7 linked regions of the Mus musculus genome follow. The protein of the gene in region 1 interacts with the protein of each later gene in a pairwise test. Links are inferred from orthologs where the notes say so. Each region holds a gene or a part of one and is shown in the gene's direction. Other genes may lie near its edges. The genes, in order: Cby2, Armc7, Txlna, Plekhn1, Cchcr1, Mettl17 and Dzip1l.

Region 1 (3,326 bases):
CTGGCTATTATAAATAAGGCTGCTATGAACATAGTGGAGCATGTGTTCTTCTTACCGGTTGGGACATCTTCTGGATATATGCCCAGGAGAGGTATTTCGGGATCCTCCGGTAGTACTATGTCCAATTTTCTGAGGAACTGCCAGACTGATTTCCAGAGTGGTTGTACAAGCTTGCAATCCCACCAACAATGGAGGAGTGTTCCCCTTTCTCCACATCCTCGCCAGCATCTGCTGTCACCTGAGTTTTTGATCTTAGCCATTCTGAAGTGGAATCTCAGTGTTGTTTTGATTTGCATTTCCCTGATGATTTCTCACTTTTTTGGATGCTTCAGAAAAACTTCAGATTTTGGAGCACTTTGGAAATGAAAAATCTTCTGATTAGGAATGTCAGGCTGAAATAGTATTTCATTTGCCGGCGTCGTGAGGATTAAATGAATTATACAGGTAAAATGCAGCCACGGAGCCAGCTGGCCATCCTGCCAACAACTGTAACATCAGCCCCAAGGAATCTGACACTTTCTTCAAGGTGGTGCAGTTTCCCCAAGTTAAAATTGTAGAAACTGGGATTCACACAACTTGCCCAGATTCACATAACTGATAAGTAGTTAAGAAAAGAAAGAAGAAGAAGAAAAAAGGTTGATTCTAAAATAAGTACCTTTCATTTCTGCCATGTGTTTGGATCTTATTATCTGTGTCTTTTCCTTTTTTGAGTTTTATGTTCCTACCTGCACTGTCTCTGAGGTAGCTGAGATTATAGGCCTGCACAGTATGTAGTTAATTATTTATAGATTTTATAGTTATGGATGTATAGGACTTTGACTATACCAGCATTAGTGCTCATAGAATATTTATGGTCTTTCTTGGATCTACAGAGATGTTTGTATATGGGTATACAGCCAAGAACTGGGGGTAAGGTGCCCCTTGTTTGAACGTCCATCCTGGAAAAGTGTCTTGTTTTCAGTTTATATGCCAGTATGATTTTGAATCTTTGTACTTCTTGTTGGCTTCACTGCTTACAGTGACATCTAAACATATGGCTAAAGACTCTTAATTACCACGGGTCCGTGTTGTGCCCCCACGGAGCAAGCTTGTTAGATAAGCTCTGCTCACGGTAGAGGATTCACACACTGTCAATCTGCATATCCATGAGGGCGTCTATAAACAGAAGCAGTGTCTTCTATTTTAGCAGTCCACGGAAATTTGATGACTCGAGCCTTATAGGAACCTGGCTCAGTTTTCCCCCCTAGGAACCATGGTTCAGTATTCATTAATTCAGAAGGATGCTACCCAGGATTACAAAGGCTGGTTATACGTCCTCATTAAGATCCCTGGAGGTCACGTGAAGGCATCTCTGGACCTCTTAGTTCACCAGCACTCTTTTCAACAGTTCCTCCGTTAACAGCTTCCCTGCTTTTCTCCCACAGAGGGGCACCGAGCCCTTCCTGAGGCTCCACAACCTGTACAGTACTCCTCGCTGCTCCAGGCAGGCTGCCTTACCTCGGATGAGCCGCAGGGTAGCCAGCCAGCACTCCTACCCACTCAACCGCTTCTCTTCTATGCCTTTTGACCCCATGGAGCGCCCCACCTCCCAGGCCGACCTGGAACTAGACTACAACCCTCCCCGGGTGCAGCTCAGCGATGAGATGTTTGTCTTCCAGGATGGGCGCTGGGTGAATGAGAGCTGCCGCCTACAACCACCTTACTTCTCTCCCCCCTCCTCCTTCCACCATAAGCTGCACCACAGGAGGCTGGCCAAGGAGTACCAGCTGCAGGAAGAGAACAAGTCTCTTCGGGATGAGAACCGGGCCCTACGGGATGAGAACAAGGCCCTCCGCAAGGAGAACAAGATCTTACAGGTCTTTTGGGAAGAGCACAAGGTCACTTTAGGCCACGAGGAGAGTCAGACCTCCTCATTGTTGCACAAGGACACAACCTCCCAGGAAGTGGTGAAGAGAGACAACACCACTTTGCCTGCCCAGCGTAGCAAAGAGAGCACCCTACAGCTCATTCGAGAGGAGAACCGGGCCCTGCAGCAGTTGCTGGAGCAGAGGCAGGCCTACTGGGCCCAGGCAGAAGAGAATGCAGCTTCCACTGAGGAAGGCAAGTCCACCTCCTCACCCAAGGAGGAGTCCCATAACTCAGGGCTTCTGCCAGATCAGAGCACAAACCACTCCTCCCCCTTTGAGGACCCCAAAGTGCCCCCCACAACACAGGAGGACTCGAAGACACTGCGTGCCCTGAGGGAGATGGTTAACAACTTGTCTGGGGCATCTGGGGAAGAGGATGGCAAAGTAGGCCCTAACCTACCTGACAGCGCTCAACCCCTGCAGCTGCTGAGAGAGATGAACCAGGCGCTGCAGGCCCTGCAGGAGGAGAACCGGCTGCTGCAGGAGGAGAACAGGGCTCTGCACATCTTGCGAGAGGAGCACCGCGTCTTCCAGGAGGAGAACAAGGCCCTGTGGGAGAACAATAAGTTGAAGCTGCAGCAGCGGCTGGTCATCGACACGGTGACTGAGGTCACAGCCCGGATGGAGATGCTTATCGAAGAGCTGTATGCCTTCATGCCAGCCAAGAACAACAAAGATCCCAAAAAGCCCAGCAGGGTCTGAGGCCTTGGCAGCAGACATAGACACCAAGACCAGACCAGAGAGAACCCTCAACCTTCCTTTGTCTTCCTTACTCTGCCCAGAAGCACGTGCCCGTGGGACAACGGAGAAAGGGCCATCCTACACCTGACACACAATAAAGACAGAGGAGGCTGGGGCCAGCCAACACCAGCGTGGAATTATGGCTTCTTCTCCCCCTTCCTTCTTACTCTTTAACGTCTTACTGCCTCCCCTTCTGTTCCTTTGCCTTGCCTCTCTCGTCTTTATCAACCATCTCCTTATCTGGTTCCCTGTCCTTATTTTTCAACCCCTGTACCTTTTCTCCCCTTCTATAGCCTTAGCAGGGTATGATGGTGCATTTTTGCACTCTCTCGGGGCTCAGGAAGCTGAGGCAAGAGGATTGTGAACTTAAGGTTCACCTAGGCTACATAGTAAAAAAAAAAAAGGCTTTATAAAATGCAAGGGGTTGGGAAATGGGCCACAGGACTCGGCACGACAGACGGACTTTTTAGAGTGAAATTGAGCCGAAAGTCAGAGTTCCTGCAGACCTCTGCCATAGTCATCAATATCCCCTACCAAAATCTATAAAAATTGATGAGTCCACATGGACTCATTAGCACACAAAGTCCCTAGTTAGGATCCTCTGGCTACATTCCTTAGACAATGAGCCTGGCCTGTCTTTGTATGTTGATTGTGACACTTAGGGTCCTTAGAACCCTG
Region 2 (3,944 bases), on another chromosome or scaffold:
TTCATTCTAACAGAAAACAGAGTTGGGGCTGGCTAACAGGCCCACGTCCAGGAAAAATAGAATCTGTGATCCTCCAGCTAGGAAATTTTCATCACACTTGCCCGTTGGTAATAATGGCATTAATCTGAGGGCAATAAGCAACGAAGAAATGAGGGTGCAAATGTAGTTTAGTCACGTACATCAAACCTTCACTTCCATCTCCAGCCCCACCCATGCCCAGGTGTGCTGTAATCCCAGTTCTTTGGAGCCTGGGGCTTGGAGACAAGATGGAAGCAAAGTCTACTCTTTTGTAGCCAGGATCTGCTTTGGACCATCCCTGGAAAATTTTGAGGGGAGTCTGCAAAGTATTTGTTCTGGAATCTCAAAGGCTCCAGGTCCCCAGGTCTTTGATGTTCTGACTAGTCAGACGCTTGGCCATCTTGAGCTGAGATGTAAGAAGTCTGCCTAGCCTGCTTCTTATAAAACCTAAAGGGCACAGAGTTCTCACGGAGCAACCTTGGTTCTCAAGCATCCAAACTAAGACTAAAACTCTTGCTCTTGGTTGATGTTGGGCATGGATTGATCACTGGAACTTAAACCCCAGAGGTGGGGGCCAGGGAAAGGTGAAGTACACAAACCATTCTGCTGTGATTCAGGTCCCTGGTACCAAACATAGTACATGACCCCTGACCCTTGCCCTAAAAACCCTTACTGCCTCCATCCTCCACCTCCACCACAGCACGGCAAAGCTGGGCCCCTCCCTGACGCTCCTTGTGACCCTAAGATTGTGTTTGGGGTTTGATGGATGTTCTGTTTTGTTACCAGGGTCTTGCCATGTAGCTCTGGATTGCCTTGTAGACTAAACCGTCCTTAAACTCCGTGTTCTGGGATTAAACTACTATCATGTCTAGATGGCCTGAAGATCCGTCTGCCCGGCTGTCAATCCATCCACCATTCTCTCTCTCCTTTTCTCCTCTTTCCCTCCCCTCTCCCTTCCTCTCTCCTTCGACGCATCCCCGCTGCGGCGGCTGCGCAGTGGAGGGTTAAAGCCTCCAGCTCTAGAAATCCGGAGGGAAGCCCAGGAGGCGCCCAGTAACCACGCCCAATCCCGTCCTGGTCCCGCTCACTCCGTTTCCTGGGGCGGGGCTAGAGAGACTTCCGCCCTGAACCAGGAAGCGGTGCAGGGAGTGTGGTAAGGGGGCGTGCCTGCCTTCAGTTCCGAAAAGCCACAGCGTCTCGCCCGGGTTGAATTTTGGTTTTCAGATCCGGCTCAGACAGGATCCTGAGACCCCTGGCCACCCCCACAGCTCATCCCCAGCTGCAGACGCGGATCTCAGGACAAGACTGGGTTTGCTGCCGCTCTGTCGCCGCCGGGACAGGTCAGGATCCAGGCCTTGTGGCCTCTACCGGAGCTCCCAACTCCGCCGCCCCAGCCATGGCACAGAAACCCAAGATAGACCCCCACGTCGGGCGGCTAGGCTACTTGCAGGCGCTGGTCACAGAGTTCCAGGAAACCGAGAGCCAAGGTAAGAGGTGTAGCGTGGGCACGAGGGACCCAGGAGGGTTCTGACGGCAGCCGCCGCCGCACAGGTCCGACCCCAGGGCTGCTTCCCATTGCAGATGCCAAGGAGCAAGTCCTCGCCAACCTCGCCAACTTCGCTTATGACCCGGGCAACTACCAGTACCTACGGCAACTACAAGTCCTGGACTTATTCCTTGATTCTCTGTCGGAAGAGAATGAAACCCTAATCAAGTTTGCTATTGGTAAGAGTTAGGCTGCCCCCAACCCCCGTGCCCGCGCGCCTCCCCCCAAGTTATAGACTAGAGCGACTTGAGAGTCAGGCATGCCACTCGCCTATAAAACTAGCATTACGGGAGGCTGAAGCAGGAGGATGGTTGCGACTTGGGGGCCAGCCTGGGATTCAGAGTAAGACACTGTCACTAAACAAACTAGTGTTTGGGATGGGATCTCATCTAGGGCAGAGCTGCCGTGTGTGGACCACCTACCTTCTCCTCCTCCACACATTATCGGGGTCACAGCTCATTCCAAACAAGTCGTGTCTTTCTTCCTCTTAGAAAAGAGATAATAAGTGAGGAAATGGGGTGAAACCTCTTTGAAAGAAGTTTAGTTTTTTGTTTGTTTGTTTGCTTGATTTTGATTTTTTTGAGACAGGATTTCTCTGTGTAGCCCTGGCTATTCTGGAACTCACTCTGTAGACCAGGCTGGCCTTGAACTCAGAAATCTGCCTGCCTCTCTGCCTCCCAAATGCTGGGATTAAAGGTGTGCGCCACCACTGCCCGGCTGGAGCTTGCCCTTGTATTGTTTACTGTCAAGAGGTGCAAAGGTAGCTTAGAACTCCTATAGTTGGGTTATTGTAAGGCCGTTTGAATTATTCAAGGTAGACTCTTTTACATTTGCTGTGTAGGTGTGTGTTTGCATGTGTGTGTGGATGAGTGTGAGTATGCATGTGCACCAGGCTGTATGCATGAAATTTGTCAAGAGTCAGTTCTCCCCGAGTACAGTGGTACATGCCTTTCATCCCCAGTACTGGGAAGACAGAGGTAGGTAGATCTTTCCGAGTTCCAGGCCAGCCTAGCGTGAGTACTGAGTTCTGGACCATCTAGGGCTATGTGGTAAGATGTCGTCTCTAAAAACTAAGGTAGTCGTTGTTGTTGTGTTCTCCTCTTCCAGTTGCTAAGGGAAGATCTCTGTGCCTTCAGAGTAGGGCAGTGCACTCCATAGCTGGGCCGTGAGCCTCCAGCTAATGGGGAGAGAGTGCTGGGGTTCCAGATGCTCGACACTGCATCTGGTTTTCTTATGTAGGTCCCTGGAACCGAATTCAGGTCATCAGAATTGTGTGGCAAGCTCTTTTACCTACTAAGCCATCTCCTCTGCCCCATGATAGATAGTCATTATTGGGCACCCTATAAGGAAGGTACTGGCCCAGGTTCTGAGGAGATGGTGAACAGGTTGGGGATTGTATTCTGGAAGGGGAGCTAGGTGGCGAATAAAACAAGCAAAGTAGAGATAAACAGGAACTCAGATGGAGCCATAGGAGGTGTGTCACGCTACTTACGCTACTTCCATTTCAGCCATCTTGGATATGCGATGTAGACAAAGCAGCTAAGCAGGAAGCTGTTAGAGGGAAGCTGATGTGTTAGAGGGAAGCTGATGTGTTAGAGGGAGGCCGATGTGTTAGAGGGAAGCTGATGTGTTAGAGGGGAAGCTGATGTGTTAGAGGGAGGCCGATGTGTTAGAGGGAGGCCGATGTGTTAGAGGGAAGCCGATGTGTTAGAGGGAAGCTGATGTGTTAGAGGGGAAGCTGATGTGTTAGAGGGAGGCCGATGTGTTAGAGGGAGGCCGATGTGTTAGAGGGAAGCTGATGTGTTAGAGGGGAAGCTGATGTGTTAGAGGGAGGCCGATGTGTTAGAGGGGAAGCTGATGTGTTAGAGGGAAGCTGATGTGTTAGAGGGAGGCTGATGTGTTAGAGGGAGGCCGATGTGTTAGAGGGGAAGCTGATGTGTTAGAGGGGAAGCTGATGTGTTAGAGGGAGGCCGATGTGTTAGAGGGAGGCCGATGTGTTAGAGGGAGGCCGATGTGTTAGAGGGGAGGCTGATGTGTTAGAGGGGAAGCTGATGTGTTAGAGGGAGGCTGATGTGTTAGAGGGAGGCTGATGTGTTAGAGGGGAAGCTGAAGTGTTAGAGGGAGGCCGATGTGTTAGAGGGAGGCCGATGTGTTAGAGGGGAAGCTGATGTGTTAGAGGGAAGCTGATGTGTTAGAGGGGAAGCTGATGTGTTAGAGGGAAGCTGATGTGTTAGAGGGAGGCCGATGTGTTAGAGGGGAAGCTGATGTGTTAGAGGGAAGCTGATGTGTTAGAGGGGAAGCTGATGTGTTAGAGGGAAGCTGATGTGTTAGAGGGAGGCTGATGTGTTAGAGGGAGGCCGATGTGTTAGGGATATTTTAA
Region 3 (3,944 bases), on another chromosome or scaffold:
TTTTTTTAATGTTCTGAGCCTACACTGGCACTGCAAATCATAATGAAGAACAAAGACGAGAAAAATCTAACATTTTAAAGCAGTAACACTTGATACTTTGCAGAAAGTGGGGCAGGGGTGGTAGGGTGGGAGTTTACCAACCTGCCTAAAGCCAAACTCCCTGGCTTCAATCCCTTTCTGAGGGAGTAATTGCCAAGCTGGTGGGGTTAGAAGGCGGGGCATAAATTGCCTCAGAGAACAGCTGTGGTGTCGGAGAATGGTTCCAACCGGTTTTGGTAGGCAGCTCTGAGTTAGAAGCCAGCATAGTCAAAGATTACGTTCTAGGACACACTAGGCTACACAAAGAAACCCTGACTCAGGGGGCAAAGAAATATTTTTAAAGGATGGGTGCTGGTGTCAGGCTTCCAGCTTTGAATCTGCTATAACCACACAATATTGATGGAGCCTTAAACTATTTACCCTTTACCTGGTGGCCTTTGCCATTAGTCCAAGCCATGGGGAGGCAAAGACAGACAAAACTCTTGAGTTCAAAGCCAATTTAATCTACATAGGGAGTTCCAGGCCTGCCAAAGCCACATATAACGAGATGTTGTCTCTAACAAACAAATAGTAGTTTGTTTTATTTTAACTAGGCTTTTCTGTACTATCGTATATTTCACAGATCACTGAGTATTTTGTACTTAATCCGAGTAATTATGAGAATCAAGCTACTGGATACGAGGAAAAAACGTTTGAATTATTATAAACCTTCTATTGTAATAGAGGGGAAAAAAATGCCAGGCACATAACAAATTAGTTTACCTTTCTATCCCTCTTCCGAGTTCTCAGAGATCATAGAAAGTCATACATGTTTATAAAGGACTAATGAGTGTATGAAAAAAAAAGAAAAAAAAAAGACCAGAATGCCAAAGTTTAAGGCCAATCATAGCTTCAGTACCAGAAAAGAGGCTGACAAAAATCTCTCGACCAATGACATAATTTCGGACCCTCAGGGTATTTGGCTCCTATGCTTTTCGGTTGCATCTCGGGAGTTGTGCGGCGCCGCGAGGCATGAAGGGGCTCGTAGTTTTTCCCACTCCCGCCTCCAAAGCCGCCTTGACTTCTTTTTTCCCAGCAAGCTCCGCGCCCGCGTTTGCTGTTGATTGGCTGCGGCAGGAGAGGGCGGTCCTGTTGGCAGCAGTTACCTAGGTTTCCGGTGCTCGGCCGGAGAGGAGGACGCCGCCGGACGTCCGTGGTGAAGTATGTCTATGGGCTGTACGTGGGACGAGCTCTTCAGAGGGTCTGTGGCCCAGGACGCGTTGGCCGTAGAGGAACAACTAATTCGGGGGGTCGGGGGGAGGGCGGCCTGCCCCAGTGTTGCGCGTGCGTACTCTAGGTCTAGAGGGCGCGTGGGGTGTGGGTGGCTTCTGTGCGCGCGCGCGCGCGGGGGTCCCACGTGGGACCTGGTGGGGCGGGGAGCCGATCGGGACTGGAGCATCCCGCCACGTCAGTCTGCGGCTCTGAGCCAATCCCGCGCTCCGGCTGCCGAGAGGGAGCCGTGTGGTGCCGAGAAGTGGCATTCGGGAGAAAGGAGGCCTCTTCCTTCCCTCACTCACTCAGGGGCAGCTTCTCGGAAACCTTCCATGGGACCGTGAAATCCCGGGCGAAGACCGACCGGTCTGTTTGAAGCTTCGAGCGTCAGATTTGGGGATTTCTTATCTAGTTGTGAAGAAGAATTTTGAAGTCTAGAAAAAAAAAAGCAACTGGGTCCTTAAAGGATCTGCCCCATTTCTGGCCTTGCAGATCACAATGAAGAACCAAGACAAAAAGAATGGGCCTGCCAAACACTCCAACTCGAAGGGCAGCCCGGGGCAACGGGAAGCAGGACCGGAGGGAGCCCATGGACGACCCAGACAGACAGCTCCTGGGGCGGAAGCCGAAGGTTCCACAAGCCAGGCTCCTGGGAAGACCGAGGGTGTGTGCCAGCTCTGCTTTTCCAGTGGGCAGAGGGAGGAGTTTCTGGTACTGGTCTGTCTTCTGAGGCCAGTGTTTACCCAAGAAGAAGGAACTATAGAATGAACGATGCTCATTCTGTGTGATCCTTTTGTTTCCTGGGGAGGTGGTGAACCTTCCCACTCTTAGCCGTGGGGCGCAACCTTGGGAGCATGCTCTGACTGGTTTAAACGAAGACAGTCAAATGAAGCACCCCGTAAGCAAAGTCATATTCCCAGAGAACACTTGCCAGTGGTGGGTAATTGTCCTTCATGAGGTGCAGCGTCTGCCACATGCCAACTGCTCCTCACACAGGGGTGCTTTACACAGTTGGCTTTTATAACAAGTATGTTTGGGTGTTAGAAATACTTGTTTTATAACTAAACAAACTTAGGGTTTAAAAAAACTTAAATTGAGGCCAGGCCTAGTGTCCCTCACCATTGTCCACAGAACTCAGGAGGCAGAGGCAGACAGATCTCGGAGTTTGTGATCAGCCTGCATACTAAGTTCCAAGACAGCCAGGGCCCTGTAGAGAGAGCCTAACTCAACCGAATAAATAAATAAAACAACATTTAACCCACACCAGTGTGTTTATCTGGGCTTAAAGAAGATCCAAGCGAGTGGTATGACCACTGAACTTTAATCCCGTGTCTTCATCTTTCCTGCTGTAGGGGCTCGAGCTAAAGCAGCTCAGCCTGGGGCCCTCTGTGACGTCTCTGAGGAGCTGAGCCGGCAGTTGGAAGACATCCTGAGTACATACTGTGTGGACAACAATCAGGGAGGCCCGGCTGAGGAGGGAGCACAGGGTGAGCCCACTGAGCCGGAAGACACGGAGAAGTCCCGAACCTATGCAGCCAGGAATGGGGAGCCTGAACCAGGCATTCCAGTCGTCAACGGCGAGAAGGAGACCTCTAAGGGAGAGCCTGGAACAGAGGAGATCCGAGCGAGTGATGAAGTTGGAGACCGAGACCATCGGAGGCCACAGGAGAAGAAGAAAGCCAAGGGTCTAGGTGAGGGGGGAGCTATTGGTGAGGGGAGGGAGTTAACACCTGTCATCTCATGGGCTAACCTGCTCTGTCAGAACTCAAAAGAATCTGCTTTTCAAGACAGTATGTGTGTTATCTCCCCTCCCCCCCGCCCGGGTTTACTCAAAGATGGGGTCCTAGCATTGAGCTGTTAGATCACTCACTTGTGCAAAGCCTCCTGGCCTTGGGAAGTGGAGGCAGAGTGTAGCTAGCATCTCACTGAGGATATGGAGAACAGGAGGCCCGAGTGCTTGCCAGCACCACTTTTAGCTGCTGCTTGACTTTGGACATGTTTATTCTCCACTCCTGGGTCTTAGTTTCCCTGTTTCTATAGCAATAGAATTAGGCTACACCAAGGTTGAGATATCAAATATCAACATGAACCAGGTAAGCCACAGACCTCTTCAGAATCATCAAGAAAGGGCCTTCTTGATCTGAAAAATTGACTCCTACCTGGTTAGTCCCCCACTCTCATCTGACCAGCTGAATAATTGGCAACCAAAATAATAGAAACCAAGCAAAGCCATCCACTGGTGGGGTTTGCCATCTCCATGCCAATCTCGTGGGCCTCCAGGACTGACAATTCAGGAACCTGGTCTGTGCTGACTGAATACAGTGGAACCCAAGGGAGACAATTGTAAAGCTTCCTGGCTGAGGTAGAGGCAATCAGGCGTGATGGCATCCACCTTTAATCACAGCACTTGAGAAGCAGGGGCAAGTAGATCTCTTGAGTGCCGGACCAGCCAGCTGCATAATGAAACCTTATCTCAAATGAATAAAAACAGAGAGCAATGGCAGTCCTTTGACAGGGGTGGTGGGATAATATGAAAATATGAATTTAGAATCTAATGGGAACCTATGTGGTAGTGTATGCCTCTAATGGGCGACTAGGAGGAACAGAGGCAGGAAGACTGAGTTCAAAGGCAACTTGGACTACATAGCAAGACC
Region 4 (3,987 bases), on another chromosome or scaffold:
TGGGACAATAGAGAATGCTGGGTAGACACTCACTGAAGGAGGATGAGCAACACAGCTGGGCCTTGCAAGCAGGAAGGGGCAGAGCAACTGTGGCAACAGGAGCAGCGGCAAGGGCTTTCTAAGAAGATGATGCAGACCCCTAGCCAGCGCTTTGCACACAGCACTTATCTGTCTCTGCCAGGCACTATCCCTGAAGGACACAAAGCAGCCTTATTTCCTATGTCCCGTGTACACAGTGTGATGTCTTTTCTGGGTCTTCTATGGAGCTGGGCACACAACATGCACTTAGATCCTACACAGCAATATGAGCCAACTTGAACAATAAACATGTTTCTTGGGCTCCATGGGCCTGAGGCTGAATGTCCATCTTTGGCCCCCTTTGTACCTTCTGCTGTGGCTCTACAGCACATCTTTGGCTCCTCTCTGGACAACAGAGTGAAGGTCTACAGGCAAGTGTGCAGCCAGACTCAAACGCTACCTTAACGTCTGGGGCTGCAAAATGGCACTTCTGCATTCAAGTGGAACAGAGACTGGCTGTCATCCTAGTCTTGAGGCTCCTGGGATCTGGGAGTGTGGGGCCAATGAGGAAGATAGCCTTAGGAACCCGAGAGGCACGTGGCCTCTTTCTTGCATTTGATTAAACTTTGGGGACCCTGACTTCATTCTGGATAAGGGTTGGCCCAGAATGAAGAGAAGCTGGGGGAGGGTTCAGGTCTCTCTCCCTTTATATGAAATTGCACCTCTTGAGCAGCTGAGAGTGAGCAACACACCCCCGACAGTCACCAGTGACTCAGACAGCTGGGACTCGTGTGGAAACAGGATGTGTGCACCCTGGCAGGGGAGGGGCAACTGGAGAATCCCTGCCTCCATAGAACTCCAACGTCTAGGCTCCTCCAGTCTGAATACAAGTGTGCGGGTGTATACAGAGCAGGCCCTTCTGGCCAGGTCTATGCAGGGTGCTGAGATGGGGGCTCCTGGTCCAATCAGGAGATACCTATTCTACCCCAAGGCTCATTGCCTTGGGCCTAGGAAACCTGGGCCCTCACTGGAAGGTTTCCCTCAAAAGGGGCCAATCCGGGCCCAGAGAGGAGCCTCCCCAGGTAGGGGCAGGGCGTCCTGTGGCCACGCCCACCAGCGGGAGGCGTTAACAGAGGAACCAAGAACCCAGACCTGTGGACCTGCCCAGCACAAGCTAGCAGCTGCCATCCATGGGGAACAGCCACTGCGTCCCTCAGGCCCCCAGGAGGCTACGGGCCTCCTTTTCCAGAAAGCCCTCGCTCAAGGGAAACAGGTGAGGGGTGTGGCCTGGCCACAAGGGAACAGGGTCTCCCTGGACCTGCTGCCTGGACCAGGCCTTGAGCCTTCGGTTTCCCTTGTTCCCAGAGAAGACAGCGCCAGGAAGCTGGCTGGCTTGTTTGGCACCGAGGCTAGGCCTGATGGGGACACCGCGGCTAACAGGATCTTCCACTACATCCCTGGGACGGTGAGCGGAGGGGCGTGTCCGGCTGGAGTGGTTGGCTCGGGGCCTGGAGTCTGAGTACAGCTTTGTGCTTCTCCCTGTGTGCTTGTGTGTGCCACAGTGTGAGTGATCATGGGGGCATCACAGCTTCCAGCAGCTTGGGGTGATCCCTGGTCTGCTTGGAGGGATTCAAATCCAAAGCAAGATGAGGAAGTTGGCTCCTCCCTGGGAGCTCGCTCAAGAGTCTAGGCTGAGAGTGAAACCAAGACCAGCACTGAGTGAGTGCTGAGCAGGCAGAGCCAGCCCAGTCTGCGATATATCCAAAGGGACAGTGGCCCCGCCCTCAACCTCCACCGCCCCAGCCTGGGTCTTGCGGGCCGAACACCTGTGTGGAAGCTTCTGGTAAATAGCATAGTGCGGGCCTCAGTCCCCCAGGGTCACTGTGGAGCCCACAGCTGCCATGTTGCCATCTAGGCGGGCACCCATCCCCATAGAGCAAGAAGCCAGCTAACCCTCCTGAGATCAGAAGGCTAAACATTCTGTGGGTTTAATGACTCGCCGAGGAAAAACACACCTTTCCCCTCCCCTTTTCCCAAGTCTATGGCAATACTTGAGAGGAGCCAGGGCTGCAGGTCTGACAGGAACACGTCCTACTCTGCTGTTCGTGGAGGACCACACCCACCCCAGTGGGCTGGGATCTGCTATATATGTGCAGCTTCTACCAGGGTTGGGGCAAGGCTCCTGGATTCTTGGGTGCTGCAGCTGGTGCAAACTCCCAAGGTATACCTTTCTCACAGGATCCTAGGAAAACTGGGAAACCAGCCCCTCCTGGTCTCTGGGGCCCCAGGGATTTCTACAGACGGGTGTCACCTTTAGAAACCTTACTGCCTCAAAGAAATAAAGAGGGAAATGGGGCCTGGCGTGACCAAGGGTGGCATCCCCTCCCTGTGGGCACATCTCAGACCCTGACTCCCTCCAGTCAGGCCCAGGAAATAATTCTAGGAAGGAGTCCCAAAGTTCCAGAGTAGTTGAGCCTAGTCAGGTCACAATAACTGGAAAGTGTGACCCTCAGGAAATGGGATCAGGAAAAGGGGCCCTAGCCAGGCAGAGAACCAGTCCTGAGCACCGTACATGGACTATGGACTCTAGGTAGATTTTGCATCTAAACAAGAACTAGCCCTGCCACAATCTTAAGCTGAGCCCTCAGCTGTCTGAGCACCAGGACCAGCGTCATAGCCTTTCCTATTCATGGCCTATTTTTCAGTGCCATCCAGCATGCGTTTCAACACTGGGTGTACGTACAGGAGGCCCCACCCAGAGTCAGTGAGGATATGAGCTGCTTTTGTCTGTTCACATTCCCAGGGCCTGCACTAGAGGTAGTTCAACTTGATCCGTGTATAGTAGCCCATGCAGGTAGTCCTTGACAGCTTCCAAAGGCAACATAGCACCCGTCCCAAGCCTGTGGCTCGCAACTTAGTCCATTTCTGATCTCTAAAATGATATAGAGGATTCTTCAAAGACTGTCTAAAAGTTGTGCAGATGTTGGACCTACCTCTTTCCCATCCTCCCAGAACATCCCAGGGTCATGTTCTAGACTGTGTGGAGTCAGCAAGGAGCAAAACAGAATAAGACTTCTGTTGTCACCTTCTTCCATTACTATGTCAAAGATAGTCAAGACAAAACAAGAGAAGCCAGTCTAAACCAGTACTAAGTGAAAAGCAAAAGCTGAATTTTAGGACATTCAGAAAGAAGGTAAACCTGAACAGAGAGCCCACAGAGGGGTAAAATGGGAAGTTAGGGCTGAGCAGAGACTCGCACACGCAAAGGTGAGACATCATGTGTCTTACATAATGGAAAAACGAAGGAGAGGACGGGGCCCCAAGTTTAGTCATAGAGAACTCCTCAGTCCATTGCCAATGCTCTACCTTCCACTGTAAGATACGTAGTATGTATGTGGTGAGCTGGGATAGCCAGCAGAGACTCACAACAACTGACTAGTACCTCTTTCCAGTTCCAAGTTCACGACATCACGAGTTACCGAACTCAACTTGGGCAATGTTGGGAATATTTACACTAAAGAAATTAGTAAATATTACAATAAATATTGGATTTTTCTTCTTTATTTCATTTTTTCATAGAACTAGATTTAAAAAAAAAACTTTCAACTGCTACTGAAAACCTGAGAAGGCTGTGAGCATTATCTCATTCTCATAATATCACTTCTGAATTCTGGGGCAAGTCTGAGGGTGTGGAATGACCAAAGTGAAGTTGTACAGAGTAGGCCGTATTGAAGATAAGGACTGAACTCAGTGATACCAACTTAAGTTTATACCATAGAGCGCAGAGCTGTAACTGCAGGGAGCATTATATTTATATGTGTGGTATGCATATATTCCACTTTTTATGTGACGAGGCTTAGGGGTGTGTGGTGTGCATGTATGTGTGTGTTCTTGAGGAATGCATTCTGTGGCCACGCACGGACAGATCAGAACTATATACAGAAGCTGTGTGTATATCGCTTGGGGATC
Region 5 (4,008 bases), on another chromosome or scaffold:
GGGGGGTGGAAGGTGTAGAGGTCACCGCCCCTGCCGCCCCCTATACGCAGCAGCTGGAAACAGGGCAGCATGGGGGGTGCCCCCTCTGCACCACTTTGCCCACCTCAGAAGTCCATTCCCTCTCCTACTCCTGGGTCATGCACCGTGGGCTTCAATTCAGTTCTCTCTGATGTCAACAGCTAAGTATTGTGCCTAATGCCAACTTAAGCAGTGCAGATTCAGAGCGCCAGAGGCCTGGATATGCACCAAGACAGAGGCTGTCAAGATGAGGTTTAAAAAGCAATTCCAGTAAAGTCCTGATGCGATGCAAAACCAGGAAGACGTCTTGTGGCACCTCAGTGAAGCCGGATCCTCAGGCGGCTCAACATCCGGGAGCCTCCGACAATCTGTGCAAGGCAAAGCTAGTTTAAACCGCAACTGGGAACAGGCAGAGGGGGTGAAGGGGCCCTGGTACACAAACGTGCGTGTGACACGGGTCTTCTCCCTAAGTGTAACCTGGAGTCAGGGAATTTATGGTTAAACTTTCTAATCCAAGTAGCGCACCCCTTCCATCTTTCCCCCCCACCCCCGCTCTTCGGATCAGTTCCCCTAAGGGAAGTGAATCCACTGTCACCCGCAAAGGGCGGCGCAGACGGGTCCCTAATTCTGTAACAAAGTGGATCTCACCCTTTCTTTTTTTCGCTCGCGGGGTAAACTGAGGAAGGGATTCCGTACCCTGCGTCCCGCGCTCCCGCCGAGGTTTGACAGCCAAGGAAGCCGCCCCGAAGGCGGGGCTTGGGTGAAGGCGCGCGCGCGCGCTGCGCAGACTCCTCCTTCGGAATTCCCGGGTCCGACTTCGCGCCCGCGAGCCCGCCCCCCCGCCGGCTGCTTCTGATTGGCCATCTGAGTTGCACCCATTTGCTCTATTGGCCGATGCGCAGGGGGGAGTTGCTCATCTCCCGCTCTCCGCCACTTCTGATTGGCCGGCACGTTTTCCCGGGTTCCCGGGGAGAGGAGGGGCCGTCAGGGCGCGGAGAAAGTTTGGGGCGTCAGGGTGCCTGCTTGCACCTTTCTTCTTCCTATTTCCGGTAGGGAGAAATGGAGCTGTAGAGCAGCCCGCCGCCCCGCGCATGCGTGATCTGGGTGTGGCGTCTAGACTGGGTGCTAGGTGTAAGGGGCGTGGCAAGAGGGCGGATCTCGCGCTGGGTAAGGGGCGTTCGGGGAGAGTCAGTTGGGGGCGGGAAGAGTCTGAGAGGGGGCGCAAGGGGGGCGGAGGGGATCCACAGGGCAAGAGGGGTGCAGGAGCTGGGTCAAAGGATAGATGAGGAGGTCAAGACAGCCTCAGAGTTCAGGGTCCTGACGGGGATTAGCCCGGGGTGTGTGCGGGAGAGAAGTGGGGGAGACAGGACAGGGAGCGACCAAGATAATTCCATCGAAAAAGACTCATACTAGGTCTAGGAAGAGAAACGGGTAGGAATCGCGGGGGTTGAGTGAAAAAAAAAAAAACCCAAAAACTTGAATTCTGATGGAAGTGGGGGAAAGAAGATGCTGTAGGACTCCGAAGAGAGATGCATCGGGAATGGAAGCCGAGGGGATAGAGAGCAACTGAGGCCCGTTACAGAGAGGCCCAGATGAGTTGCCAGGAAGCTGGCTTCCCAGCAACGGGCTCCCGGCTGCTCCGATTCCTCAGGGATCCTAGGGAAGACGCTTAACCCCACATGTGGCCTCATTCTTCCCGGACCAGGCCTTGGGCTAACTCTTTAATAGGAAATGACTCAGAAATCCTGGCTCGATGGTGCCTAGATGGGCTTCCCAACGGCCCTACCATTCCATGGCAAGGACTGTGGAGAGTGGGCTCCTTATACTGTGTCCAGAGAGTCCTGAGCTGCAGGGACCGTAGACACTTAAGGAGGAAGGTAAAGGCACACCACCCACATTCCTGTAAGTAGAAGGAAGCCTCGTCTCAGTAAATTTACCTTAGGGTTGTTGCCTGGTTCATTCTATCAGGAGCGTAGTTGGGACAAGCAAGTGGTTTGGTTACCGTGTGCCTTAGGGAAGTAGGAAAAGAGAAGCGTACAGCCCGATAGACCTGTCAGTAACTTAAGGATTATGACTTTGTTTTTATAGGGCTTTTTCTTTGGAAGGTGGCCTGAAAAATTGAATTGAAGTATCCTTGTTTCTCCTATTGTCCAGGGGAACATAGGTGACTGGAGACAAGAGCTACAGGATTCATATAACAGGAAGATGTTGCCACCGTCAGGTCAGTGAGGCTAGTCAAGGAGACCAGGATCATCTCCCTCTTCCCTCTCCCCCTCTCTCAGAATCTGACAGTCTTTATTCTTGTGACCCCCTCAGGTTTTGCTGGGCTGGTTCCTCCCTCCCACTTCCAAGCTCGGCCCCTTCCAACTCTGCCAAGAATGGCCCCGACCTGGGCTTCAGACGTTCCCTTGGTCCAATCTCCGGCCAGCCAAGATGTCTTAGAGAGACGGCTAGATGCTCAGAGGTCGACAGTGACCACGTGGGGACAGGATTTCTGTGGAGATGGGCAGGGGCTAGGGCGGAGAGGCAGGTAGGGATCTGCCAATCACCTCTTCCTCAGACTGACACATGGTCCTTCATACACGCATGCCTTCATTTCAGCCCCTGGTTCTATAACTTGTGTGGTTTTTCTATAGGCCATTGTTGGCCCCTACGACGCATAGACCACATGCGTTGGGGTTAGTGAGAATAGATGTTTGGACTTAAATTCTCATTACATAAGGAATGTAAATGTCTTAAGGGAGGGGATAAGTTCTGCAAAAGCTGTTTTAAAGCAAAATGACGTGCAGCTTAGACATGCTGACCCAGTTCTCCAGAGGCATACTGGCTCCTTTTGGAGTAGTTAAGCAGGCCTTTACAGGAATGTGCAACTGGAGCTGGCTATGCTCTGTGAATGTGGTTTTATTTGTTTTTTTTTTTTTGTTTTTTGTTGGTTTTTTGTTTGTTTGTTTTTTCAAGACATGGTGTCTCTGTATAACCCTGGCTGTCCTGGAACTCGCTCTGTAGACCAGGCTGGTCTCGAACTCAGAAATCTGCCTGCCTCTGCCTCCCGAGTACTGGGATTAAAGGTGTGCGCCACCACGCCTGGTGTCAATGTGTGTTTTAAGACTATTAAAAAAAATTTTTTTTAAGGTTTATTTAGTTTTATTTATAGGAGTACATTGTACTCCTATACACACCGGAAGAGGGTATCAGATCCTATTACAGATGGTTGTGAGACACCGTGTGGTTGCTAGGAATTGAACTCAGGACCTTTGGAAGAGCAGTCAGAGCTCTTACCTGCTGAGCCATCTCTCCAGCCCCTAAAGAACTCTTAACCTCTGCTCCAACTCTCCAGCCCTAAGAATTTTATTTTTGAGCTTAGTATGGTCTGCCTTTAATCCCAGCACTAGAGAGTCAAAGGTAGGCAGATCCCTGAGTTCAAGGCCCCAACCCTGGTCTAGAGATTGAGTTTCAGGACAGTTAGGGCTGCATAGAGAAAAACTTGTCTGGAAAAAACAACAACAAAGACTTTATTTATGTGTGTATGATTGTGTGTGAGCATTCATACTTGGAGGCCAAAAGAGGGTGAAGGATCCTCTGTAGTTGGAGTGACAGGCAGCTGTCAGCCTTTGAATGTGGGGGGCTGGGAACTGAACTCAGGTTCTTTGCAAGATCAGCAAGCGCTCTTAGCACCCCGAGCCGGCTCTCCAGCCCCTGTGGACATTCGGCTCTGTGTGAATGAGCATTCTTACTTCTGTTTCGTCTGTGTCTTTCCCCCAGTGTCCTGGGGTGTCATTCTGTCAGAGGGGCATGTTAGGAGACAGATTGTAAGGAACTGTGGCAAGTCATTGCTAGCCTCCAGTTAAAGGAAATCCTGCCATTCTCAGGGACAGAGATGCCTCTGGAGCCTCCACATAACCAATTCAGATATGCAGACGCCTCAGACTCCCTGTGCAATGTACCAAACACTCACGGAAAAAGCCCGCACCAAAAGAGCAGGGTGTAACA
Region 6 (3,989 bases), about 24 Mb from region 1:
GTCAGCTAACTTCTGCCCCCAAGAGGCTAAAGAGGAAACCACAGCTGGGTAAAGTACTGCTGCCGGGACCCAAGAATTTACAGGTCCATGAGTCTTTTTTTTTTTTTTTTTTAAAGATGTATGAGTGCTCTGCTGCATATACATCCACAGGCCAGAAGAGGGCATCAAATCCCCTTACAGATGGTTGTGAGCCACCATGTGATTGCTAGGATTTAAACTCAGAACCTCTAGAAGAGCAATCAGTGCTCTTAACCGCTGAGCCATCTCTCCAGCCCCAGGTTTTGGGGGGTTTTGTTGTTGTTGTTGTTGTTTCCCCACACACACACTGATTAACCCTTCGAACATTTAGCTTAAAATTCTCCATTTGCATTTCAAGGACCAACAATACCCAGTACGGTGCATTGTTTAAAAATGTAACTCTGACTTTCGACTCCCTAGCACTTAATTCAGCTATCACCTATTAAGTTCATGAACTTGGGTAAATTAACCACGTGAAAAATTAAGTTAGCAACAGATGTTTGTGGAAATAAGATGGCGGGAATTCGGTGTGCTACGTGGGAAGCTCTTGATAGAAAACCTGGAGCAAACTCGCAGACAACAAATGTGAAAAAAAAGTAAGCTAATTTTTATATTTATTAATTTGCAAACTGTAATAGTTATTAGCGCTCATCGTTGACTGCCTAAATCTGATTTTTGTTATGGTCTTGTCCCGTCTCACAAAGGGAAACTAGCCACGGTTCAGAATTCTACAGCACCAAATGAAAACAAAGAAAGTCCACACTTTCCTTTTCACCTGCCTACCCCACTCTCAGCCCCACTCCTGCCCCCACCCCCGCCCAGCCCTGCCCCCGCCTCTGTCCTCCCAAGTCCCACTCCCTACCACCCCCCCACGTCCCCTTCTATCTCCCCACCCCAGTGAGACTGCTTCCCCCTCCACGCCGCCCCCATCTCCCTACTCCCCCAACCCCTCTCCCTCCTACCCCACTAGCCCCCCCTAACCCGTGAGACTGATCCCTCCCCATCACAAAACACGCCCAAGCCGGGTTGGTCTCGCCCGCAGCCACGCTCAGCATTGAGACCACGCCCCTTCTGAAGGCTAAGCCCCTCCCACGAACGGCCTTCTTCGCAGAGACGTACATAAGGTACATAAGGTCGCTTATTGGCTGTTAGCAAATACTCCCTCTTCTCATTAGTTGATACCGTCCGGGTCGAAGTTCCACGGAAGATGCTCTTAGCTGCTTGGGCTGAGGGTTACAGGCATGTGTACTTCCGTTTCCGGTGTGTCCTGAAGCCATGGCCACCGCCAGGACACCGAGATTTCTGCTGCTGTTCTGCAGATCCTGCCGCAGCCTTCGAGGACCCCAGTCCCGAGTAAGTGCATCTTCCTCTGCTGGCGGAGAACTGGGTTTCCAGAGACATCTCTCGGAGGAGGAGCGACCTCGGCGATGCCTCGGGCAGCAAGCACCTGCAACCATTCTGTTTCTTTCGCTGTCTGCAGGCATACGCCGCCCTTGTGCCCGGTGTGTCCCAGGTAGACAACGGGTCGGATTTCCTGGGGAAGAAGCCCCATCGAAAGCATCCCGGCATCCTGCATCTTCCGCACGTCCAGCTGCCGCAAGCACTGGCTGACGCCGCACAGTTAATGCTTTTTGGTGAGAAACTGCGGGAAGGGGAAGCCAGATAAAACCAAACGAGGCCAGCACGCAGCGATGACCCTTTCCATCTGTGACCACAGAGAGACCCATGCGCAGTGTAGAGAAGCAGGTGCAAGCACTCACCAACTATCTCTGGAGCCGACATTTACCTGTAGAGCCGGAGGAGTTGCAAAGACGGGCTGCGTATCTTGAGAAAAAATTCCTGGAAAAACAAGGTAGGGCTTAAAACTAAAAGGCAAACCAGATTAAAATGTCAACGAGAAATTAGGATCAAAGAATAATTTAAATCTCTCAGATAAATACTGCTGTTTCTCATTTGATGCTGTAGTAACAGCCCTACTAGATGATGCCCTGCTAAGAAGGTAGGTTGGGCCAGAGGTTGCCCTTGGAGATTGGGTAAAGGTCAGAAGTTTTGGTCTTTCGGGTTTTTTTATAAAAAATTTCCCCTCCACCGCTGCAAGTCAAAGAGATTATGACTATATTTTGATTCAGGTAAGTAAAGGCCATATGGCAGGCAGTTCAGTAAACACGAAACCCCACCTCGGATAGAAAATTATTACATTTCAGATTATTTTTAAGACTATGGACTTCATATTGTAAATTTGCCTTTTATTCTTGTATTCCCTGCACGTCCCACAGTACCTGGTTCAGGGTAGTGTCTTAGTGTTCTATTGTTGAAGAGATACCATAATCACGGCAACTCTTAGAAAAGAGAGCTTTTAACTGGGGCTGGCTTACAGTTTCAGAGGTTTAGTCGGTTGTCAGCATGACAGCATGCAGGCAGGCATGGTGCTGAAGAAATAGCTGAGAGTTCTGCATCTGCATCGGGAACTGCAGGAACAGAGCGAGACTCTGGGCTTCTCATGGCCTTTTGAAACCTCAAAGCCCACCTCCTAATCCTTTCACGTAGTGCTACTCCCTGGTGACCAAGCATTCCAGCGGATGAGCCATTGGGGAGCAAATGGGGCCATTGTCATTCAAGCCACTACTGTAGGTGTTTGTAGAAATTTGCCCAGTGGTACAGAGCTCCACACAGTCCGGAGACTTGGATTTTCAAGCCCCTTTCTATGGTAATATTGAAGATGTCTCACTCCTAAGTGTCAGAGAGTGAAAAAGTCTATAAAAGTGCCCTTATCCTGGCTTTTATTTTTATCACATGGACAGGAGAGATGGTACAGAGTAAAAAAGCACTCACCACCAAACCTGATGACCTTCTACCAAATGGGTGAAGGTGAGAACTGACTCGGACCTATATGCACACAAGAAGTAAATATTTAAAAAAAAAAAATCATTTTTATCAGGCTTCTGCTCACTATGACGCAAAACTTGGATGGGTTAAGTTGACTAAACTACTATTCTAATAGTCTAGATACTATTAGGTAGATAATATACAGACAAGATAGTGTTGGAAAGTCTTTGATACTCTGGTGATGGTGGCGGTCATCAGTCTTATCCCTCTTCCCTGAAGTTTTGACCTTTCTCGGACTTTGAGCATTTTCTCAGACAGGAATGGGGAAGGCTGGGAGGCGTGTACTTCACGGGATCTAAGCCGTTCTCCTAAGTCCTCACCTCCAGTTCTTCTCACCCTAGACTCAGCTCCCACAGAGGAGAAACTTCGTGAGGCAGTACTGCATGCCCTGCGCAAAACTACCTACCATTGGCAGGAACTCAGGTACGGTCTTCCAGAAAGGGTACAAAGAAGGCATGTTACACGTGAGGAGAGCTGAAGAGGTAGTCAGCTTTGCGTTTGAGAAAGCCTCCTGAAGTCTTCTGTACTAGAAAGTGGAAGGACTAACCAGAAGAATCGTTTCAGATTTTTTGTTTCATAAACTTTAGAAGGTAACTGGGGCTAGGTTATTTCCTAAGTGGGGGAGGGGGGAGTCTCTGACTTGTTGTTGTTGTTGTTGTTTGACAGCTACAGTGAAGAGCTGAGTCTGATCTATATGGCAGCCAGATTGGACGGTGGTTTTGCTGCAGTTTTCAGGGCATTCCATGAGGTGAGAGTCTCTCAGCATCCAACCCAGCCCCCTTTGCCATTGGTTTTGTTTTCTGTAAATTAGCCTTCTGTGGTAGGAGTTCTTGGGATGTTATGCACACACTAATGGTTTTATTTATCCTTTGAAAACAATCCTGTGGCCTAAGAAAGGTTAGAATCACTGAGATGTTTCCTATCTGAAAGTATTTTTTTAATTCATTTACTGTATGTGAGTACACTGTTGCTGTCTTCAGACCCACCAGAAGAGGGCATCCGACCCCATTACAGATGGTTGTGAGCCGCCATGTGGTTGCTGGGAATTGAACTCAGGACCTCTGAAAGAGCAGTCAGTGCTCTTA
Region 7 (3,500 bases), on another chromosome or scaffold:
TGGTTGTAATAGGGGCTGGGACACATAGTGGTATTTATTGGCCTCATATTTGACTAAAAATCAGGATTTCTGTTTTCTTTCCCTTCCCACTCCCACCGTTCTTTCTGTCTTTCTGTGGTGTTGGGAATTGAACCTAGGGTCTCACCCACTCCCGACCCTTCAAATTCTTTTTTATTTCTGAGGCAGCCCATGGACCCTGTGGAGGCAGAGTTTCACTACAGGATATTTCCACGCTGTCTGGGGGATCTAATCCAGCCCTTCCAATTGCTTTTCTTCTGTGTAGTGCCACTTGTGTGACAAGACCTTCATGAATGCCACCTTTCTCCGGGGCCACATCCAACGCAGACATGCAGGCATGGCAGATGTCGGTGAGTCCAGGCTTCATTGGGGAACTGCTGGGCAAGGATTTGGTGTGTGAGGCCCATGCACATAGACCTGCTCTTAGAGCCTCTTAGCGATTCCACATGGTGCCCTGTGCAGTCTTGCCTGTGTAGGGGACAAGAGGCATCAGACAGGTAGGTTTAGTTTTAGTTTTCCATGAACAGTGGCCAGTACTTAGCCTCTGACTTGTGCCCTTCACTGTGTGTGGAGCAGGCAGTGACTCATAAGGGCCTTTAGCCTCCCTGTAGCCTCATCTGTAGCAATCCGAGGCTGACTGTATAAATGGGGCAAATGAGCAGTCAGACCAGTTCTCTGGCTGTTCTGTGTACGGAGCTTATCACGACTTAATCACTTTATTTAATTGTACCATTTCAGATTCCAAAAGGAGTAACAAAGCTTTGTGTTGTCCTTGTAAAGTTATATGTACTTTTTGCGTTCAACAGAAGTGTCTGTACAATGAAATAACCGCATAACATACATATAAAATTCTCATTAAGGGAAACATTGTTATTTCCTATCATTGTAATCCTCTTACATTTTTTTTGCAGTGGAGAATGTAGCTCCGTAATATAGGACTTGCTTGTATGCAGTGTAGTTCTAGGTTCAGTTCTTAGATAGACACACACACACACACACACACACACACACACACACACACGCACACAGCTTAATGCAGTATCATTTAGTTGTATACTTATTATATATCTCTTCATAGTTCTATATTGGGGATTATTGAGGAAAATAGTATATGTCTTTTTTTTTTTTTTTTTGGTTTTTCGAGACAGGGTTTCTCTGTATAGTCCTGGCTGTCCTGGAACTCACTTTGTAGACCAGGCTGGCCTCGAACTTAGAAATCCGCCTGCCTCTGCCTCCCAAGTGCTGGGATTAAAGGCGTGCACCACCACCGCCCGTCAATAGTCTATGTCTTAAATATTGGTTTCTTATTTTCTTGTAAAAATATATCTTTGCTATAGAAACTTAACTATGTAATGATATATAGGAAAAAGAAAGATAAAAACAAAGGACATCACAGCAGTTGTTATTTTGATATTTTTCTGCATATATTTGTAAGTATATAAAAACTCTTGAGAATACCACAATTTCTGGGTTTTTGTTTTTGTTTCTTTTTTTTTTTTTTTTTTAATTAGTGTTGAACCTGCTGAGTCTAGCTGAGGGTAGTCTTGAACTCCTGGCTCTCTGACTCCACTTCTTGGGTCTGGGGTTGTACGTGTATGCTGCTATGCCTTGCTTACGCAGTAATGGGGGTCAAAAGCAGCGCTTTGTGCGGCACTGCCAGCCCTAAACCATCTTTGAAAACATGATTTTTAATGACTGAACAGAATTTCGTGATGTAACCACCAGTTTCTTTCACATTGTGGTACAGAATATCTGGCTAACTCAAAAATTTCCTTACTATGTAACACAGGATGGATTGACATTCTTGTATGTAAATATTCGTGTGTGTCTTTTCATAGTGTTTTAGTAGAAGGAGAGGGAAATTTGTTCTTTTTCTATTTTATGATTTATTTTTATTTATGCGTATGCTTCTGTGTATATATGCCCTGTGTCTTGTATGTGTGTGTGTGTGTGTGTGTGTGTGTGCCTACAGAGGCCACAAGAGGGTGTCAGACCCCCTATGCCTGGAGTTATAGGCAGTTGTGAACCACACAACATGGATCCTGGGACCCGAACTCAGTTTCTCTGGAAGAGCAGCAGTCGGTCTTAATCACTGTGCTATCTTCCCAGCACTATGGACATGTGTTCTTAGGGCAGTTTTTGCTCATGACTCTTCCCCCTTTCACCCATCCTGTGTGGACCCCAGGAAAGCAGAAGCAGGAACAGCCACTGGGGGAGGTGCTGGAGGAGCTTCGGGCCAAGCTCAAGTGGACCCAAGGGGAGCTGGAAGCCCAGAGGGAGGCTGAGCGGCAGCGGCAGGTCCAGGTGAGAGTGCAGGGAAATGGCAGGAGAGGCTCAGGGTGTCCTGTGCAGCCATGCACTAGACTCCCACAGGAACCAAATTCCTACCGGTTTCCCTGAGCTGGAAGTCAGAGAGAGAAGGCCACCTTCTCCCATGTGGAACATGATTATACTTTGGAAGGGACGGTCAAACTATTTTGCCAGACCTGTGTGGCCAAAAGTGCAGCAGAGAGTCATGGTCTTCTGCGTAGGGATGCTGAAGGCATCTGAACTTGAACATAGTGTTTTGGGCCACACTGTTACTTGGCTCTCTGAGGACAAAGACTGGGGCTGGTTTTGAAAACTCCAGAATTTTAGGCTAGGGGGCGTGAACTATAAGTATCAAATATAAATAAATTTATAGAGTGAAAACTCTAGCCTTCTTCACCTCCCCATGTCATCGCTCGTCACTTATTGCCTTAGCAGGCATTTATTGGGGATTGAAAAGAAAGAGAAAATGAGTTTTATCCTCACGAGAGTCTATAGTTTAGATAAGTCGTGTCCAGCAGTGGACCACTTTGGGTCTAGACTTCAGGGGCTGAGGGTGGTGTGTTCTTTGGATTGCCATAGTGTTATGCATATTGAGGAGGCCTTGGCTGGTACTCAGCAAATGTTTGCCATAACTGGAAAGCAATGATTATACTGCCTTTTATTTTTTTGGGTAGGAATTAGAGATGGCTCGTCAGCGGGAAATGGAAGCTAAAAAAAAGTTCGATGAATGGAAAGAAAAAGAACGCAGCAAGCTTTATGGAGAGATAGACAAGCTGAAACAGCTGTTTTGGGATGAATTCAAAACTGTTGCCAACCAGAACTCCACGTTAGAAGAGGTACCCCACACAAAAAGATTTTCAAAATTTGTTTGTTGCAAACCTATTTGTTCTTAAAAGTTAATTTTGTGTGTGCACATGCATGCATGTGTGTGTGTTTGTGTGTGTTTGTATGCTTGTGCACATGTACAAGGGCTTGCTCATGCACATGTATGTAGAGACCAGAGATGGACATGTCTTCTAACATCTTTCTGTATCTTCGTTCTATATTAGAATTATTTTTTAAAAACTTATTTATTTTTTTATTTATTTATTTATTTATTTATTTATTTATAAGTTATTTATATATGTGAGTATAGTGTCGCTGTCTTCAGACACACCAGAGAAGGAAATCGA

Evidence for each region.
Region 2: the proteins of Cby2 (region 1) and Armc7 interact in binary tests that used the Homo sapiens proteins (3 or more experiments, as listed by UniProt). The two-hybrid records come from large-scale screens. The link is inferred for Mus musculus from reciprocal best matches to the Homo sapiens genes CBY2 and ARMC7.
Region 3: the proteins of Cby2 (region 1) and Txlna interact in binary tests that used the Homo sapiens proteins (3 or more experiments, as listed by UniProt). The two-hybrid records come from large-scale screens. The link is inferred for Mus musculus from reciprocal best matches to the Homo sapiens genes CBY2 and TXLNA.
Region 4: the proteins of Cby2 (region 1) and Plekhn1 interact in binary tests that used the Homo sapiens proteins (3 or more experiments, as listed by UniProt). The two-hybrid records come from large-scale screens. The link is inferred for Mus musculus from reciprocal best matches to the Homo sapiens genes CBY2 and PLEKHN1.
Region 5: the proteins of Cby2 (region 1) and Cchcr1 interact in binary tests that used the Homo sapiens proteins (3 or more experiments, as listed by UniProt). The two-hybrid records come from large-scale screens. The link is inferred for Mus musculus from reciprocal best matches to the Homo sapiens genes CBY2 and CCHCR1.
Region 6: the proteins of Cby2 (region 1) and Mettl17 interact in binary tests that used the Homo sapiens proteins (3 or more experiments, as listed by UniProt). The link is inferred for Mus musculus from reciprocal best matches to the Homo sapiens genes CBY2 and METTL17.
Region 7: the proteins of Cby2 (region 1) and Dzip1l interact in binary tests that used the Homo sapiens proteins (3 or more experiments, as listed by UniProt). The two-hybrid records come from large-scale screens. The link is inferred for Mus musculus from reciprocal best matches to the Homo sapiens genes CBY2 and DZIP1L.

Annotation. Positions count from the first base shown.
Region 1 is NC_000080.6:75,582,334-75,585,659, reverse strand, and holds the end of Cby2 (protein chibby homolog 2), read left to right. Parts: intron 1-1,424; coding exon 1,425-2,609; 3' UTR 2,610-2,826; downstream 2,827-3,326.
Region 2 is NC_000077.6:115,474,523-115,478,466, forward strand, and holds the start of Armc7 (armadillo repeat-containing protein 7), read left to right. Parts: upstream 1-1,144; 5' UTR 1,145-1,414; coding exon 1,415-1,505; intron 1,506-1,599; coding exon 1,600-1,743; intron 1,744-3,944. UniProt on the Homo sapiens protein: As a component of the minor spliceosome, involved in the splicing of U12-type introns in pre-mRNAs.
Region 3 is NC_000070.6:129,638,266-129,642,209, reverse strand, and holds the start of Txlna (alpha-taxilin), read left to right. Parts: upstream 1-1,144; 5' UTR 1,145-1,239; exon of another isoform or gene 1,240-1,279; intron 1,280-1,404; exon of another isoform or gene 1,405-1,782; 5' UTR 1,783-1,788; coding exon 1,789-1,954; intron 1,955-2,642; coding exon 2,643-2,981; intron 2,982-3,944. UniProt on the Homo sapiens protein: May be involved in intracellular vesicle traffic and potentially in calcium-dependent exocytosis in neuroendocrine cells.
Region 4 is NC_000070.6:156,225,713-156,229,699, reverse strand, and holds the start of Plekhn1 (probable pleckstrin homology domain-containing family N member 1), read left to right. Parts: upstream 1-1,187; 5' UTR 1,188-1,208; coding exon 1,209-1,291; intron 1,292-1,383; coding exon 1,384-1,483; intron 1,484-3,987. UniProt on the Homo sapiens protein: Controls the stability of the leptin mRNA harboring an AU-rich element (ARE) in its 3' UTR, in cooperation with the RNA stabilizer ELAVL1.
Region 5 is NC_000083.6:35,516,045-35,520,052, forward strand, and holds the start of Cchcr1 (coiled-coil alpha-helical rod protein 1), read left to right. Parts: upstream 1-1,208; 5' UTR 1,209-1,697; coding exon 1,698-1,895; exon of another isoform or gene 1,896-1,920; intron 1,921-2,106; exon of another isoform or gene 2,107-2,172; coding exon 2,173-2,239; intron 2,240-2,334; coding exon 2,335-2,548; intron 2,549-3,097; exon of another isoform or gene 3,098-4,008. Other genes in the region: Tcf19 (transcription factor 19-like protein), read right to left, coding at 1-71. UniProt on the Homo sapiens protein: May be a regulator of keratinocyte proliferation or differentiation.
Region 6 is NC_000080.6:51,883,653-51,887,641, forward strand, and holds the start of Mettl17 (methyltransferase-like protein 17, mitochondrial precursor), read left to right. Parts: upstream 1-1,189; 5' UTR 1,190-1,293; coding exon 1,294-1,371; intron 1,372-1,498; coding exon 1,499-1,652; intron 1,653-1,735; coding exon 1,736-1,870; intron 1,871-3,245; coding exon 3,246-3,327; intron 3,328-3,570; coding exon 3,571-3,652; intron 3,653-3,989. UniProt on the Homo sapiens protein: Mitochondrial ribosome (mitoribosome) assembly factor. Binds at the interface of the head and body domains of the mitochondrial small ribosomal subunit (mt-SSU), occluding the mRNA channel and preventing compaction of the head domain towards the body.
Region 7 is NC_000075.6:99,639,531-99,643,030, forward strand, and holds part of Dzip1l (zinc finger protein DZIP1L), read left to right. Parts: intron 1-283; coding exon 284-368; intron 369-2,203; coding exon 2,204-2,322; intron 2,323-3,002; coding exon 3,003-3,164; intron 3,165-3,500. UniProt on the Homo sapiens protein: Involved in primary cilium formation. Probably acts as a transition zone protein required for localization of PKD1/PC1 and PKD2/PC2 to the ciliary membrane.